Pelodiscus sinensis: one gene and its partner. The protein of the gene in region 2 purifies or fractionates together with the protein of the main gene of each other region. This does not show direct contact. Links are inferred from orthologs where the notes say so. Each region holds a gene or a part of one and is shown on either strand. Other genes may lie near its edges.

The links.
Region 1: the proteins of SNRNP70 (region 2) and SNRPD1 purify together in Homo sapiens (affinity purification with mass spectrometry; 6 studies listed by BioGRID and IntAct, counting the BioPlex papers as one, with this or other methods). This does not show direct contact. The link is inferred for Pelodiscus sinensis from reciprocal best matches to the Homo sapiens genes SNRNP70 and SNRPD1.

Annotation. Positions count from the first base shown.
Region 1 is NC_134712.1:178,735,568-178,743,460, reverse strand, and holds the start of SNRPD1 (small nuclear ribonucleoprotein Sm D1), read right to left. Parts: upstream 3,007-7,893; 5' UTR 2,801-3,006; coding exon 2,787-2,800; intron 349-2,786; coding exon 272-348; intron 1-271. Other genes in the region: SACM1L (phosphatidylinositol-3-phosphatase SAC1), read right to left, coding at 7,886-7,893. UniProt on the Homo sapiens protein: Plays a role in pre-mRNA splicing as a core component of the spliceosomal U1, U2, U4 and U5 small nuclear ribonucleoproteins (snRNPs), the building blocks of the spliceosome.
Region 2 is NW_027465870.1:61,235-68,238, reverse strand, and holds the start of SNRNP70 (U1 small nuclear ribonucleoprotein 70 kDa), read right to left. Parts: upstream 3,012-7,004; 5' UTR 2,858-3,011; intron 2,165-2,857; 5' UTR 2,152-2,164; coding exon 2,005-2,151; intron 1,844-2,004; coding exon 1,781-1,843; intron 1,264-1,780; coding exon 1,209-1,263; intron 1,053-1,208; coding exon 988-1,052; intron 893-987; coding exon 830-892; intron 89-829; coding exon 7-88; intron 1-6. Other genes in the region: KCNA7 (potassium voltage-gated channel subfamily A member 7), read left to right, coding at 6,496-7,004. UniProt on the Homo sapiens protein: Component of the spliceosomal U1 snRNP, which is essential for recognition of the pre-mRNA 5' splice-site and the subsequent assembly of the spliceosome. SNRNP70 binds to the loop I region of U1-snRNA.

The sequences.
Region 1 (7,893 bases), on a different chromosome or scaffold from region 2:
TTAAATTAAAGATACACGTACAGTCTAAACATTCACCGCAAAGGGAAAAAAAACCACACCCCTGAATAAGGAAAAACCCTAAAATGATGTTTCTTATGCTACTGCTTGTGAGGTGATTTTATTTGCCACCACATTTTTCACAGAATCCATCTCCTAAGACGACTCATTTAGCTATCACAGTGGAGTCTCTTTAGAAGAGAATGGATTTTCCTTTGTCTATCAATTCCTTAATTATTTTGGTTTTTAGTCTCCATCATCTTGAATTCCATACCTGTAATTGTTCCATGCACTTGTGTTCCATTCTTCAGTTCAATGGTCACGGTTTCATGACTCAATTTCATTAGAAACCTGAAAAATAAAAGTGAAGTTGAAAAGCAGAACTTCCATTCCCATATGACAATACAGTAATAATCAACTATATGGCTTTTCTGAAAATGTTTTGTAAAAGTCTTGTCTCATATCATCAGAACTTAGGAAAATGAGGTTCTACCACTTTCCTTAACTCACCTAGGCCCTGGCATATGCATTACAAACAATATGAAGTGATCTCAAACCTCATAATATTCCAAAAAAGGTAATTCTGTATGAACTCTGAGGAACTGCTACAACCAACCAAAAAAAGCCAGTGATGACTGTACACACCATTCCTAAGCATCCTGACTGGAAACTGTTCCAAAGAATCCACAAAGAGTTTAAGTACAATTCTGATACGCATTTGGCATCTAAGCATTATAATGCATTAATTCAGCAAAAAACATTTACTAGTTACCTGACAGTCATTTAAGACAAGCTTTGCTTTTTAACAAAATAAATACAGGAACTACAGTCATTGCTATGGGGCAAATAACCAAGTAAAGTATTCACAACCATAAAAAAGGAATATCAGATAGTGAAATCTAGGCTTTTGTGCACTTTTACCCTCTACTATACAGATTTAATTGGGGAGATCAGCATTTTTTAAACTGAGGGCCTTGACCCAAAACGGAGGTGCAGGGGAGTTATTTTGGGGGGAGGGGGAGAGGTGGTTGTGGTATTACCATCCTTAGTTCTGTGCTGCCTTCAGAGTTGGGCAGCTGAAAAGCAGCAGCTCCTTGCCAGGCACTCAGCTCTGAAGGCAGCACCCAGGCAGCAGAAGCACAGAAGTAAGGGTAGCAATACCATACCTTCCATCCTTAATTCTGCATCATTGCCTTCAGAGCTGGGCAGCTGGAGCATGGTAACTGATGACGGAGCGTCCAGCTCAACAGGCGGCAGCACACCCAATCATTCTTACCTCTGAGCTGCTGCTGGCAGTGATTCTGTCTTCAGAACTCAGCTCCCAGCCAGCAGCTGCTATCCTTCAGATGCCCAGCATTGAAGATAGTGCTGCCATTAGCAACGGCATAAAAGTAAGGATTGTAGTACCTTGAGTCCCCCATAACTCCTTTTTGAGTTGAATCCCTACATTTAGAATATAATGAAACTTCAGATTTCAATAGCTGAAATAATGAAATTTAAGATTTTTAAAATCCTATGATGCTGAAAGTATCCAAAATGGACTGTGAATTTGGTATGGCCCTAAATCACAGGGCTATAAGGGACACTGAGGGTCATCTCTTCTAACCCCTTGCCAAGAGGCAGGATTTGTTACATCTAAACCAACAAAAACAGCAGATGGCTATCCAGCCTTTTCAAAAGCCTCCTGTGAAGGAGCTTCAACAAATCTCCCTAAGCAATCTGTTCTAGTCCTACTGCTTTTATAGTTGGAACAACAATATTTAAACAGAAATAGGCTTACTTATCCCAGGAGCTGTTTTGTTAAAAAAAAAAAACGGTTTTACAAAACTGTCAATGGTAAAAGTATGTTCAATAACCCTAAATAACCCTTTTGTATTAAACAGTCATTGTAGCCCAAAAATCATTGCACTGTTTACCAATCCTAAAGTGAAAGTGACAATACAACAAACTAATCTATTTTCATTTGCACAAACTGAATGAAGTGCACGACATGAACAATACCGACACTGAAAAATGTAACTTTTAAGAATTGTTCAAGTTATTGTTTAGCAGGGACATATGGTGTTGGGAATAAGCGTTCTTTGTGGCCCAGCTAGGGACAAGGGAGTCCCAGTCTTGCTGAGTTTTAGCAACACTCCCCAAGAGGGGAGCCACACTTCCCCTTACTCCCCCGTCTCGCAGTTATCAGGGAGTAACTCTTCTGGCTAGTAGACACTTGTGTAACAATGAGAGTCGCATTTAAACAGGCGGGAAATGACCCTCCCCCCCATGGGGCAATGACACTTTCTTTTATCCATAACCAGGCTCATCCACGTGTGCGCGCGGGGCGAGGAAAGACTTAGGAGTCGCAACCAGCGAGCAAAGGGCGAAGGCACCGGCCGGGCAGGAGTCTCTGGCAGAGACTCGCCGCCCAGGGGCCACAGGCCGTAGTGGGGGGGGTGGAAGAAGTCACGTGCGTGATGTTAACAGTCACGTTCCTTACGGGGCCGTTGGGGACAGGAGCGGCCCGTGGGGAGGGGGCGGGTGGCAACGGCCACCTCGAGACAACTGCGCGCTCTAGGGGGAGGGGCTCCCGGAACCTGCACGGGGGGTGCACAGCTGCGCCCTGCTTCCACCCGCTGTGGAACGGGACGCCCGGCGCGAGGCGGGGGGGGGGGGAGAAGAGTGAGGTGCGCGCGAGCAGCCGGCGCGGCACGAGACGGCGGAAGGCCCAGGTTGCGGCCCAGCGCTCGCGCTCCTTTCCCGCCGCTGCCCGCCCCCGAATCCGCCTCCATCCGGGCCCATCTCACCTCACGAGCTTCATGGCGGCGGAGCGGGGGCGTCAGGCCGGCCGGGACCACAGAGCGGCAACCCGGGCACGGGGAGAAAGAAAAAAAAAATTGAGCTCGGGGCGGAGGCCTCGGACCAGGCCGCTCCGGCGCTCGGTGAATGAAACAGCGCTGGCGCGACTGAGCGTCGCGCGACTCAATAGCCGGAAGCGCCGCTCCTCGCGGCCGGATGTGCGTTAAGGCGAGGGGCGGGGGCCCTCGCCTCCCGCCTTGTGGGGGCCGGGCCAGCCCTGCTCCGCCGGCAGCGAGGGCCTGGCCAAAGGGCAGCGGCTTCAGCGCGGCCCCTCGGCTGTAGCGCACTCCCCCCGCGAGCGGCTCTGTCTCGCACCGGCGCGCTGGCTCAGGGACGGCAGGGGTCCTGCTTGCTTCCCTTCCCCCACGCGAAAGCAAACTGCGCAAAAGCCCAGTTTTGCCTCAAAAGTCAAGACGTTTAGGACAAGGCTGGGCTTAAAGAGGAGACTCTCGCAGCCAAAATGTGGACCCCTCCTACGCATCAATCAACTAGCAAAGGACATTGATTAAGTTTCCGTTATGGTACAGAGGAGTACGCGACACGCAGTGTTCAACAAATGCAAGGGATTGTGAACAACAGACATTTCTGCTTTAGTTGTATGCCTTTATTGAATGATTAGTACCCCCTCTCCACCAATATCAGTGCTGCTTTGGATTGGCAGTAGAGACTCAATGGCATTTTTTAAGGAAATACTTTGAACCAAAATTACCCTTTATGACATCAGATAAGCTGCTATCCTGCACTGGAGGGCTGAATACATTTCAGGACCACATTCACATTAATGTGTAGTAGTACTACCTATGGATTATGATATTTTTAATAGGGATGTTAGATATTTTAGTAATCATATAGTCACAACAATTTTTAATGGTTACCTGGTTATTAAAAATGTTTCTCCTGGGGCAGAGACTGACAGCCATTGCACTACCAGCTCCCCGCTTCACTCCTGGGGAAGCCCCCTGCCATCCCATGCTTCTGCCTCCATATCACAGGAAACAGTGTGGAGTGGCAGGCAGAGCTGGTCCACAGTAGAACTAGGTTTAAAAATCCCAAGCTTTCTGCCAATAGGATGTTCCAGCATTCTCTTCCCCTCCCCTCCCAAGTGCTGCCCATTTAAGCCAGCTCCTAGCATCAGCTTTTGCCTGCTCCCCACACTACTGGGGGGGGGGAAGGAGGAGGAGAAGGGAGCTGCATGGGAACCAGCATGCACAAGGAGCCATGTTAAAAGCCCACTCAAGGGTACTGGCTCCTGCCTACCTCTCCCCCAATAGAGGCAGGAAGGAAGGTGTGTGTTCCTTTGAATTAACCAATAAACCCAGGGGCTACGTCTACACTGGCCCCTTTTCCAAAAGGGGTATGCTAATTTTAAACTTCAGAATAGGGAAATCCACAGGGGATTTAAATATCCCCTGTGGGATTTAAATAAAGATGTCCACCGCTTTTTTCCGGCTTGTAGATAAGCCGGAAAAAAGCGTCTAGACTGGCCCGATCCTCCGAAATAAAGCCCTATTCCGGAGGATCTCTTATTCCTACTTCAAAGTCGGAATAAGAGATCCTCCGGAATAGGGCTTTATTCCGGAGGATCGGGCCAGTCTAGACGCTTTTTTCCGGCTTATCTACAAGCCGGAAAAAAGCGGCGGACATCTTTATTTAAATCCCCCGCGGATTTCCCTATTCTGAAGTTTAAAATTAGCATGCCCCTTTCGGAAAAGGGGCCAGTGTAGACGTAGCCAGGCTGTTAGTTTGTGTCTTGATATAAATGCACACTTGGTCTCTTAAATTTAAGGGTAGAGTCCTAGGTCTACCAAATGTTTTGATTCAGAGTTTAGAAATACCCTGATAGAGTATATTCATAAGAGTGCTTCTCCAGGAATCTTTTTTTAAGCAGGTTTCTGATAAAACATTGATTCCCTGGGAGTCTACCAATTCCTCTAATGCTGAGGATATAAAGAAAGAATTAAACCAAATATAGAAGGACCCATTGTAATACACTTGTACCTCTAATCTGGCAACCTTGGGAAAGAGAGTATGATGGATTAAGGAATTTTTGCAGACCACGGAAGAAGCTGGGAGGGTTATGGTAATGAGGCAGTTACCTGGCACCCCATTCCCAAGGGCACACATGACTATGCCCCGCCCACTCCTAGGCACCACCTGCTGCTATCACAGCAGTGGGGGAAAGCTTCTGGAGAAATGCTTTGGTGCATTGCTGATCCTCTCTCTCCCCCGAGGGAGAAAGACAATACAGCAATGTGCAGAGCCATCTTGCATTTGCGCAAGAGGTTTTTTTCCCAAATGGGAGAGTCATTGTATTTGCGGAAGGACACTGACAATCTTACATTAGATCGTCAGTGTTCTTGCGCAAATTCAAAACGGCCAGTGTAGACAGCTGGCAAGTTTTTCCACCAAAGCAATTGCTTTGGCGGAAAAACTTGCCAGTGTAGATGCAGCCCTCATGTATCTAACACTGAGCCAATAAAAAACAGTGCTGGTGGTCTAAGTTGGCCTTGTAAAGGGGTGGACAAAGAATTGAGTCAAGTAGGGAGTCTAACTTCAGGTGATAGAAATGTAGCCATGTTAGTCTGGTGTAGCTGAAACAAAAAACAGGACTATGTAGCACTTTAAAGACTAACAAGATGGTTTATTAGGTGATTAGCTTTCATGGGCCAGACCCACTTTCTCAGATCAAATAGTGGAAGAAAATTGTCACCATCTTTGGTATATATGGTTGTGACAATTTTCTTCTACTATTTGATCTGAGGAAGTGGGTCTGACCCACGAAAGCTCATCACCTAATAAACCATCTTGTTAGTCTTTAAAGTGCTACATAGTCCTGTTTTTTGTTTTAACTTCACGTGTTATTTTTAAACTTCTCCTGTGTCTCCCCAAATGCTTTGTTTTTCAGAAAGGTAAAGTTCATAGTTGGCAGAGGAAAATGGAACATATTTGCTAATTAAAATCTTATTTTTAAACTAATCCATTAAAAGTTTTAAGTATAAAAATAGAAGGCTTTAATTTTGTATTTACAGATTAACTGCTCAGAATGTACCTGATGATCAGCCATTTCCAAGAAATAATTTTTAAAGTTTGCATTTTTAAACCCATCAACTAAAATACAGGAACAACTGTCAGGATCTAGAAAAGATTAAAGTTTTATTGTAATTTATGAGTACATCATATGCAAACTTAGATACAGTACACAATCTCCTTGCAAAGCATTGGAATACAGATGCCCTTCCAAGTCTCAAAACCTACATTAATCTAGTTCTTGCTATGTGGTTATATTAGCTGTCCAGGTTTTGTCTTTGTTGCAGCAAACTCTTAACAGGAGATGCAAGGAAAGATTTAGATACACATAGTAAGACAGCTGGACTACATTTCAAAACATCACCTGCCAATGAGGCATACAAACCATTATTTAAATATTTAACTATAGAGTTCTTATACTTTCTTACCCATTACAGAGTTGATGTCTGAGATTAAGTTAGAAAGAATTTCTCAGTTAAACTGTCAACTGATATTTCCACTGTAGCATCTAAAAGCAACATGTACTTTGCATTTTTATTACTAGCACTTATGAACAGGTAATGTTTAACAAAACCAAAGAGGCCTTCAGAAACATTCAAGATTAAAATGAATTGTTATTGCAAAAAACTGTACATATTTTCAATCATAACACAATGAAACACTGATGATGCAGTGTTTTGTGTGCTAGGCCATTAATGACAACCGTGCTAACCCTAGTATTCTACTTTTTTTCCTAATATTTAATCTTCATAATTGCAATCTGAATATACAACTGTACTTACAGGAAATATTAAACAATGCACAGTGCCATAAGCAAATTTCATGTCTAGTTTAACAAATCATAAAAGTGACAAAATATTTTAAAATTGGTCCTTGATTCAGATTTTATGTAGATTTGGAAGCACTAAATTTAAGACACACATTTATTGATAATCAGCAAAAATATTCAGAGCTTAATTTTTTTAGTTTTATCATGCGTAAAAAGCAAGCTGCTGCCACTTCCCCTAAGTGCAAACATGGAATTTAGCAGAAGACTGTCATCCCAAAGATTTATATTCTTTCTTCCACAGGTAATCCCCACATAACCAAAAAGTAGATAATCAGGTGACTAAGAAAATAATATGAAGTGTATCTTCTACATTGTGACTGTTCTTTAAATATGGAATACTTTGGACCATTAGCATGAGGGTCAATAAACACAGTAGAGAAGTTTTACATTATTTGATTTCATTTACATCATAAAAAGCAACAATCTGACCTGAATCACACTTAAATTGCTATCTAACTGTAATAAAAAGTCATCTGGAGATTGCAGTAGTTTAGTGCAAAACACATTTGCAGCCTCAGAAGTGTCCACCAATAATTCATCCTCTCACCTTACAAATAGGTTAGTAGAATATTGCATCAATTGTAGATGAGACAGAAGACCTGAATTTTGATAGAAGCAATAAGGTATGATTCTCTACCCTAATTAAAGGATTTGTGCTAACAGTGACTGCCTGTATGATGGACAAATGAAACTCAGCTGTTAAGTCTAGAAATAAAACTTTGTATTACTAGGAATGCTATCTTACCTGAAAGAACATGATGTGAGTCTACATTACTAATACTACCACAGCTGGACATGTTGACACAAACTGAACCAGAGATCTTTGTTAAGATTATGAGATCACATGTTGAATGAAACTACCCTGCTAGGCTGTCAACTTAGAAGGCCAGTTTATATCCTATAATCTTCCAAAGATAGCCAAAATATCAGTGTTTTCACCTGCAAGTTATCTTGTTATGAGTGCAATCTCCCCAATTAATGCAATATTCCAAAGATCACTGTGACTAAGACTGTAAAACCACATCTCAACTGTGAATTCCCACCAGCTGAAGGACAAAATTCACTTTTTCTCTCCACGAAGAAGAAAGTTAGAAAGATCACTAACTAGTTGGTGTGGAAAGCAGGTCAGTAGAGACTCCAAGTATGGCTTGAGGAGTCCTCCATGCCAAGCCGCTTTCCACACACACAAATTCAGTCCA
Region 2 (7,004 bases):
ACTTACAGTGCATGTCTCGCTCGTGTTCGTACTCTATGAAGGCGTAGCCGCGTGGCTTCCCAGAACGCTTGCTGTACACCATGTAGATCTGGGGAGGGCAGGAAGCAAGTTACTGACCCAGAAACGGCTCCCCTGTGCCAACACACACTGCTTAGCCTCAGCTTCAGTTTGACACAAGCCACTGCCCCATAGCACCTTCTGTCATCTTAGTTAACACCTGGCACGCCAGCGGGAGGAGCTCAAGCACCAACTGGGGTGCAGGGCACACCAACTTCATTACAGCCTTTGGGGAGGAGTGGTCTAGAATGGGGGAGCCAGGAACACCCCCAAGGGCCCTGCCAACCAGACCGGGGAAGGATGGAGGGGACTTCCCATCCCCAAGCAAGCAAACAAGCCCCACAGCAAGGGCTTTGGGGTTCACCCCTGAGCAGGGACCTGTCCGGCGTCCCATCTCCAGGTGCAGCTGATCCCCACCGTAGCCCTGCAGGTACCTGGCCAAACCCCACGCACGAGAGTGCGTTACAGCCACTGTCTCAGCACTGAGCTGCCAGAGTCCAGGAGTCCACAGAGGCTACGACCCAAGGGATCTGCAGACTCCCAAGTCAAGGGGACCACCCACCCCACCCTAGCATTCATCTGTCCTGAAGACCCTGTCACTTCCCCAGGGCCAATCTGCTGCACTGGGAACAAGGGGGCTTTGTAAGTGGACTCTGTCTGCCAGGGTTTTCCCACCAGGGCCTGGCACGTCTCCCTGGGCACGACTCGGCCTGTGACCGACGGGCTACTTGAGGCTCATTGTAGGCAAGGCCTGTGGGCAGCAGCTTCTTACCCGCTTGATGGGGCCATAGACCTCGAATTCTCTTCTCAGCTTGGATTCTGTTGTGTCGTAGTTCTGTGGGGCAGAGCACAGGCTGAGATGGCTGCTACCAGGGTTGGGGAGAAGCAGGTGCCCGTGGATGGGGCGGTGGGCAGTTAGAAGGAACTTACCACTCTGGCTACGAAGAGGGTTTTGAAGGCATCTCCCTGGGCGTTGGGGTCATTGTGCGGGTCCCCTGGGGAGGGAGAGATCAGGAATAGGCACATGGAACGGATAGCAGGGAAACAAACTGCTGCCACCCTGAGCCCACGTTCACCCTCCCAGCTGCTGACTTGCCCCTGAGGTGGGAGTCAGAGCAACCCCCCCCCCCCGGACGGGACCCTCCACTCACACATCTTCAACTCGTTCTCCACCTCCTGCTGCCTCCGTTCAATCTTCTCTCGTCTCTGCAGGAAGGAAAAGGAAGGAGTGACAGGCCTGGACTCCACACAATGATGCTCCAGAGAGGGACCTCAGAAGGAAGGAATGACAGGACTGGACTCCACACAATGATGCTCCAGAGAGGGACCTCAGGATGGGACTCAAGGGGGGCTCTGAAGCCTTAGCCATGAGCACCCTTGAGACTCTCAAAGTGCTGCCGAATTCACTGCTTCCTCCTCGCTACTCGCCGCAGTGTTTTTCTCCCAATTCACAGGCTGGGACACCAGGCACTCCTCCCAAAGTCCTCACACGGAGTTAACAACAGAATGGCCAGGGAGAGGACCCAGAAGTCCTGGCTCCCAGCCCCAAGGTTCAATCACCAGACTATATAGGAGAAGGGATACCCAAGGGTGGCCAGAAGAGAACCTGGCAGCTCTGCCCTTCACCACACAGAGTGAAGCAGGTTATTTGTGGGGCGACCCAGATAACTCTCCCATGCCTTGGGAAGGGTGGGCTGACCCCTATGCTAGCAGGTGGCCATACCTTCCGCTCCATGCGCTCCTCACGGGTCTCGGCACGGGTGGGCGGAGGGGCATCGCGTGGGTCCTGGATGGGGGAGAATTATGTTAGCAGGGCATTGAGTGGGTGAGTGGCAGAGTTGGGCAGAAATGGAGGAGCCAGGAAGCTCTACAGTAGAGAAAGGGGGGTTGGAGGCAGCTAGCTCCTCCCCGCCCCATCAGCGCTGCCCTACTGGGGGGTGAGCTCACCTCAAACTCCCGGATGTACGGTGCGATGCCACAGTAGGGCTGGTTGTGGTGTTTCTCATGAGGCAGCTTCTCCAGTGGGGGCAGGTAGGGGATGGGGTCCCGGGGGGCAAAAAGCGCCAGTAGGTTGGGGGGCAGGAACTGCGTCATCTTGGGAGATCTGCTGGAGGAAAGAGAGGCCAGATCATTAGATCCCACAACAAACACACTCCCTCCAGCCACGTGTGTCCTCCCCCCCCCCCCGCCCCTGCCATAACCCAGCGGGCTTAGGGGCCAGCTAAACTCCTCATTTCCTGGGGTTTTGCTTCCCAGCTGCACCCCCCTCCCATCTCCTTCAGGAGAGCCAACGCCTCGGCAGCCCTGTCCGTCCTCTGCCCCCTCCCACTGCCCCCTGCTCCCCCCCCTCCCACTGCCCCCCGCCCCCTGCTCCCCCACTGCCCCCCTCCCACTGCCCCTCCCCCCTCCCACTGCCCCGCACCCCCTGCTCCCCCCTCCCCCTGCTCCCCCACTGCCCCTCCCCCTCCCACTGCCCCTCCCCCTCCCACTGCCCCCCGCCCCCTGCTCCCCCCCTCCCCCTGCTCCCCCACTGCCCCTCCCCCTCCCACTGCCCCCCGCCCCCCGCTGCCCCTCCCCCCTCCCACTGCTCCCCCACTTCCCCCCGCCCCCTCCCACTTCCCCCCGCCCCCTGCTCCCCCACTGCCCCTCCCCCCTCCCACTGCTCCCCCACTTCCCCCCGCCCCCTGCTCCCCCACTTCCCCCCGCCCAACTGGTCCCCCCGCCTCCTGCTCCCCCCAGTTCCCCCCCGGCCCCGCCTCCCACCCCGTGGTCCCCCCGCCCTCACCGACCCCCCCCTCACCGGCCGCGCCGCGCTCAGCTCTTCCCGCTGCCGCCTGCTCGGGGCCTGCTCCCTGCCCGCTCTGCGCATGCGTGTCCCTGTCACCGCGTCCGAATCCCTGCGCGGCCGGGACTCGCTCGGGGCGGGGCAAGGAGGCGCGAGGCCGCGCGCTGACGGAAGGGGCGGAGATGGAACTTGATCCCTCCGCAGCCGCAGGGAAAGTAGCGCCCGAACCCGGGCCAGGCAGACCATAATACTCGTCGCCGGCGGCGCTCTTGGCGCCGTGGTGTTGACCCCCGACCTGCGCCATAGCAACCAGGCCCTGACCCATGACGTATACCATGGCAACCGCACCCTGACTCCAACCCATGCCATAGCAACCGGGCCATGACCTTTGACCTGCACCTTAGCAACCAGATGCTGACATGTGACGTACACCGTGGCAACTGGATCATGACCCCTGACCTGCACCTTGGCAACCAGACTCTGACCCCTGACCTATGCCATAGCAACCAGGCCATGACCCCTGACCTGCACCTTGGTAACCAGACTCTGACCCCTGACCTATGCCATAGCAACCAGGCCATGACCCTGACCTGCACCTTGGTAACCGGACTCTGACCCCTGACCTATGCCATAGCAACCAGGCCATGACCCCTGACCTGCACCTTGGTAACCAGACTCTGACCCCTGACCTATGCCATAGCAACCAGGCCATGACCCCTGACCTGCACCTTGGCAACCAGACTCTGACCCCTGACCTATGCCATAGCAACTAGGCCATGACCCCTGACCTGCACCTTGGTAACCAGATTCTGACCCCTGACCTATGCCATAGCAACCAGGCCATGACCCCGACCTGTTATGGTACTGTATGTTTGACAACAGCCATTTGTACCATTGTTGTACCAAATTTTGTACAAAGTACCTGGCGTGGAGGTCAATGGAAAAGTTGAGTTGCAATCTGTCGGGTGTACTAATCCCGGTTAAATCCACGGCTCATGGCTGTAGCTGCCGATCTAACGATTGGCTACGTAATTGTAGCTAAACGTGTGCGTTGTTCCCAGATGCATTAACACCTGCGCCATAACAACGGGGCCACGACCCCTGACCTCCACCATAGCAACCGGGCCATGACCCCTGACCTCCACCATAGCAACCGGGCCACGACCCCCAATCTGTGCCATAGCAACCAGGACATGTCCCATAACCTATGCCATAGAAGCTGAGCCATGATCCCTGACCTGTACCATGGAACTGGGCCATAACCCCTGACCTGAATAGAAACCAGGCCATGACCCCTGACAGGACATGACATTCGACCTCCACCACAGCAACTGGTCCATGACCCCCAACATTCACCATGGCAACCAAGCTCAGGACCCCTGACCTACACCATAGCAGCCAGGGCATGACCCCCATCCAGCACCATAGCAACCGGGCCATGACCCCCAATTTACACCACATAAGGAGGCCATAACTGTGCCAGAACTTCACCCTAAGTTCCTCTGAACTTCACCTTCACTACCAGGCCATAACCCTCTGTGATGAAGTAGGGACTGTGGGGATTTTATACCCCTCATTATGTTGCATGTGATTCCTATTGGCTTGTAATAACCACCGTGTGCCTCAGTTTCCCTGGGCACCGCACCAATCCCTAGACAGGGATGGGAATTTCAGTGTGACAGCCTCCCCCACCTATACAATGGCTGACGCTTTGTGTTACCTGAGCTTGGGAAGGGGGGGGGGACCAGGTGACATCTTTTGCCCAGGAAGCAGGACAAAAGCCGTTGGCGGGGCTGGCTGCAGGACAGAGTCCATCTACTGGGTGTGTGGGTCAGTCTCAGCTGGCTTGGGGTGCAGGGTTGGGGGTCAGGGCCCTTGGCTCAGGGGCGCCCCTCCCCAAACTGGACTGTACTGACTGCTCCCGGTCCCTGTGCTGACAAGTCTGTGCTATGCTGTGTCCCTATCACCCCCTTCTGTTCTCCCTGCTGGCTGAGTCACATCTGGCTGCAGAGCCCGGTGACTCCCCCCCACACACCTTGGTGACATCCCTCATCTGATCACAACTGGGGTACGGAGCTTGATCCCAGCTGGGTTTGGGGTACAGCCCTTCAGGCCAGAGCCCGGTACGCCCCAGGCTTGGCACTGCAAGGTTACGGGGGGAGCCACATGCCCCGGGTCTAGAATCGCACATGGCTCTGCAGCAGAGATGCCCACAGCAGAGCAGCAGATGGCGCTGGTACCAGCCAGCCTTGGATAGAAACCTGCCAGCCAGGATGCCTGAGTTCACAGGGAGGGCAGTGGAGTCTAGCGGTTAGAGCATGGTGTATTGCTTACACCCAGGGAAGCTGGCACAGTGCCTATTGTGCAGGTAAAGTGCAAAAGCCACCCAACTGATGAATTAACCCCGTTTCTCACTCCCCCGCTAGTCTGGGCAGGTTAATGCCAGCCATTGGTAGGCGACTTGTGTCATATCCATTAACAGATTATTTTATTATTACAACAATTATCTCTTGATCCCTGATGCTTTGTTACTTCACAGCACCTGGGTGTGATTACCCTCTCTGCTTGTTAGGCTAGATTAATTAACCCCATCTTGGTTAATGAGAGTCTGTTAGAATAGAGAGAGACACACACACGCCCCGAAGGGAGGCATTTATCCCTTTGGCATTCACAGATCAGTTTTATGCTTGTTAATTAATCTCTGCATTTTATAGATGGTGGGAACAGAACCTGGCTGCCAGAACTCCCCCGCTCTAACCATTGCACCCCACCCTCTTCCAAAGCTGGGGAGAGACCCAAGCGTCCTAGCTCCCAGGCCCTCCCCTGACACCATCCCTAGAAGCTGTCTGCTCCCCTGTTATTTTTAGTGCCCTCGGAGCCGAAGGGGCAGCGGTGTGGAGGCGGGTGCTGGGGCTTGGCACAAGGGTGCTGGAAGTCAGAGCTGTCCTGAGAACACGACACCTCCCAGGCTGGGAACGTGTTTACAGCCAGTGATCCTGGCCCTTGGTATCAGGGGCGGACGGACGGATCAGCTGGAGGGGGGACAGGAGCAAAAGGGGCTCAGAGGGGTCCACAGAAGAGGGGCGCAGGGGAAATCTCAGAGCAGAAGAGAGGAGCGGAAAAGTGGTGAGAGGGAAAGGGTGTGTATGGGGGGCAGAGGTGTGGCGTGAATGGGGCAGCGACTCGGGGCCGGAGAAGGAGAGGGTACGCGCGGGGCGTGGGAAGGAAAGGGGGGAGCAAATCGAGGCCGAAGGAAGGGACACGGGCTGCATTCAAGAAGGGGGCAGCAAATCGGAGTGGGTACAGGCTGCATTTGGGAAGGGGAGGAGGCAATCGTGGCTGGAAGAGAAGGGAGAGCAGGCTGAGCGTGGAAAGAGAGAGCAAAGAAGAAGGCAGGGGCTACATTTGGGAAGGGAAGGAGGCACCCAGGGCCAGAGGAGGGGGTACGGGCTGTGGTCAGGAAGGGGAGGAGGGACTCGGCCCGGCGGAGTAGAGGCCACAGGGAGAGCGGATCGGGGCCGGAGGAGGTGGGAGCGCAGTGCAAAGGAGGGAACGAATCAGCAGAGGGCGGTGAGCGAGGCGGGGCACCCACGGTGGGGAGCACCCCTGTCGCGGCCCATGGCGTCTGCTGCCAGGCCCTGACCTCCCGGGCCATGGAGAAGCTGGCGTTGGCAGCTGGGGCGGCCGCCCCCTTCCCCCCGTGCCTGCGGCGGGACTGCTGCGAGCGGGTGGTGATCAACGTGGCGGGGCTGCGGTTCGAGACCCAGGCCAGGACCTTGCTCCGGTTCCCCAACACCCTGCTGGGCGACCCGCGGCGCCGGGTCCGCTACTTCGACCCGCTGCGGGGCGAGTTCTTCTTCGACCGCAACCGGCCCTGCTTCGACTCCATCCTCTACTACTACCAGTCGGGCGGGCGGCTCCGGCGCCCCGCCAACGTGCCCCTCGACGTCTTCCTGGAGGAGCTGAAGTTCTACCAGCTGGGCGAGGAGGCGCTCAGCAAGTTCCGGGAGGACGAGGGCTTTGCCCAGGAGGAGCAGCGCCCGCTGCCCAGGCAGGAGTTTCTCAAGCAGGTCTGGCTGCTCTTCGAGTACCCGGAGAGCTCGCAGGCCGCCCGCATCATCGCCATCATCTCTGTGCTGGTCATCCTCATCTCCATCGTCAT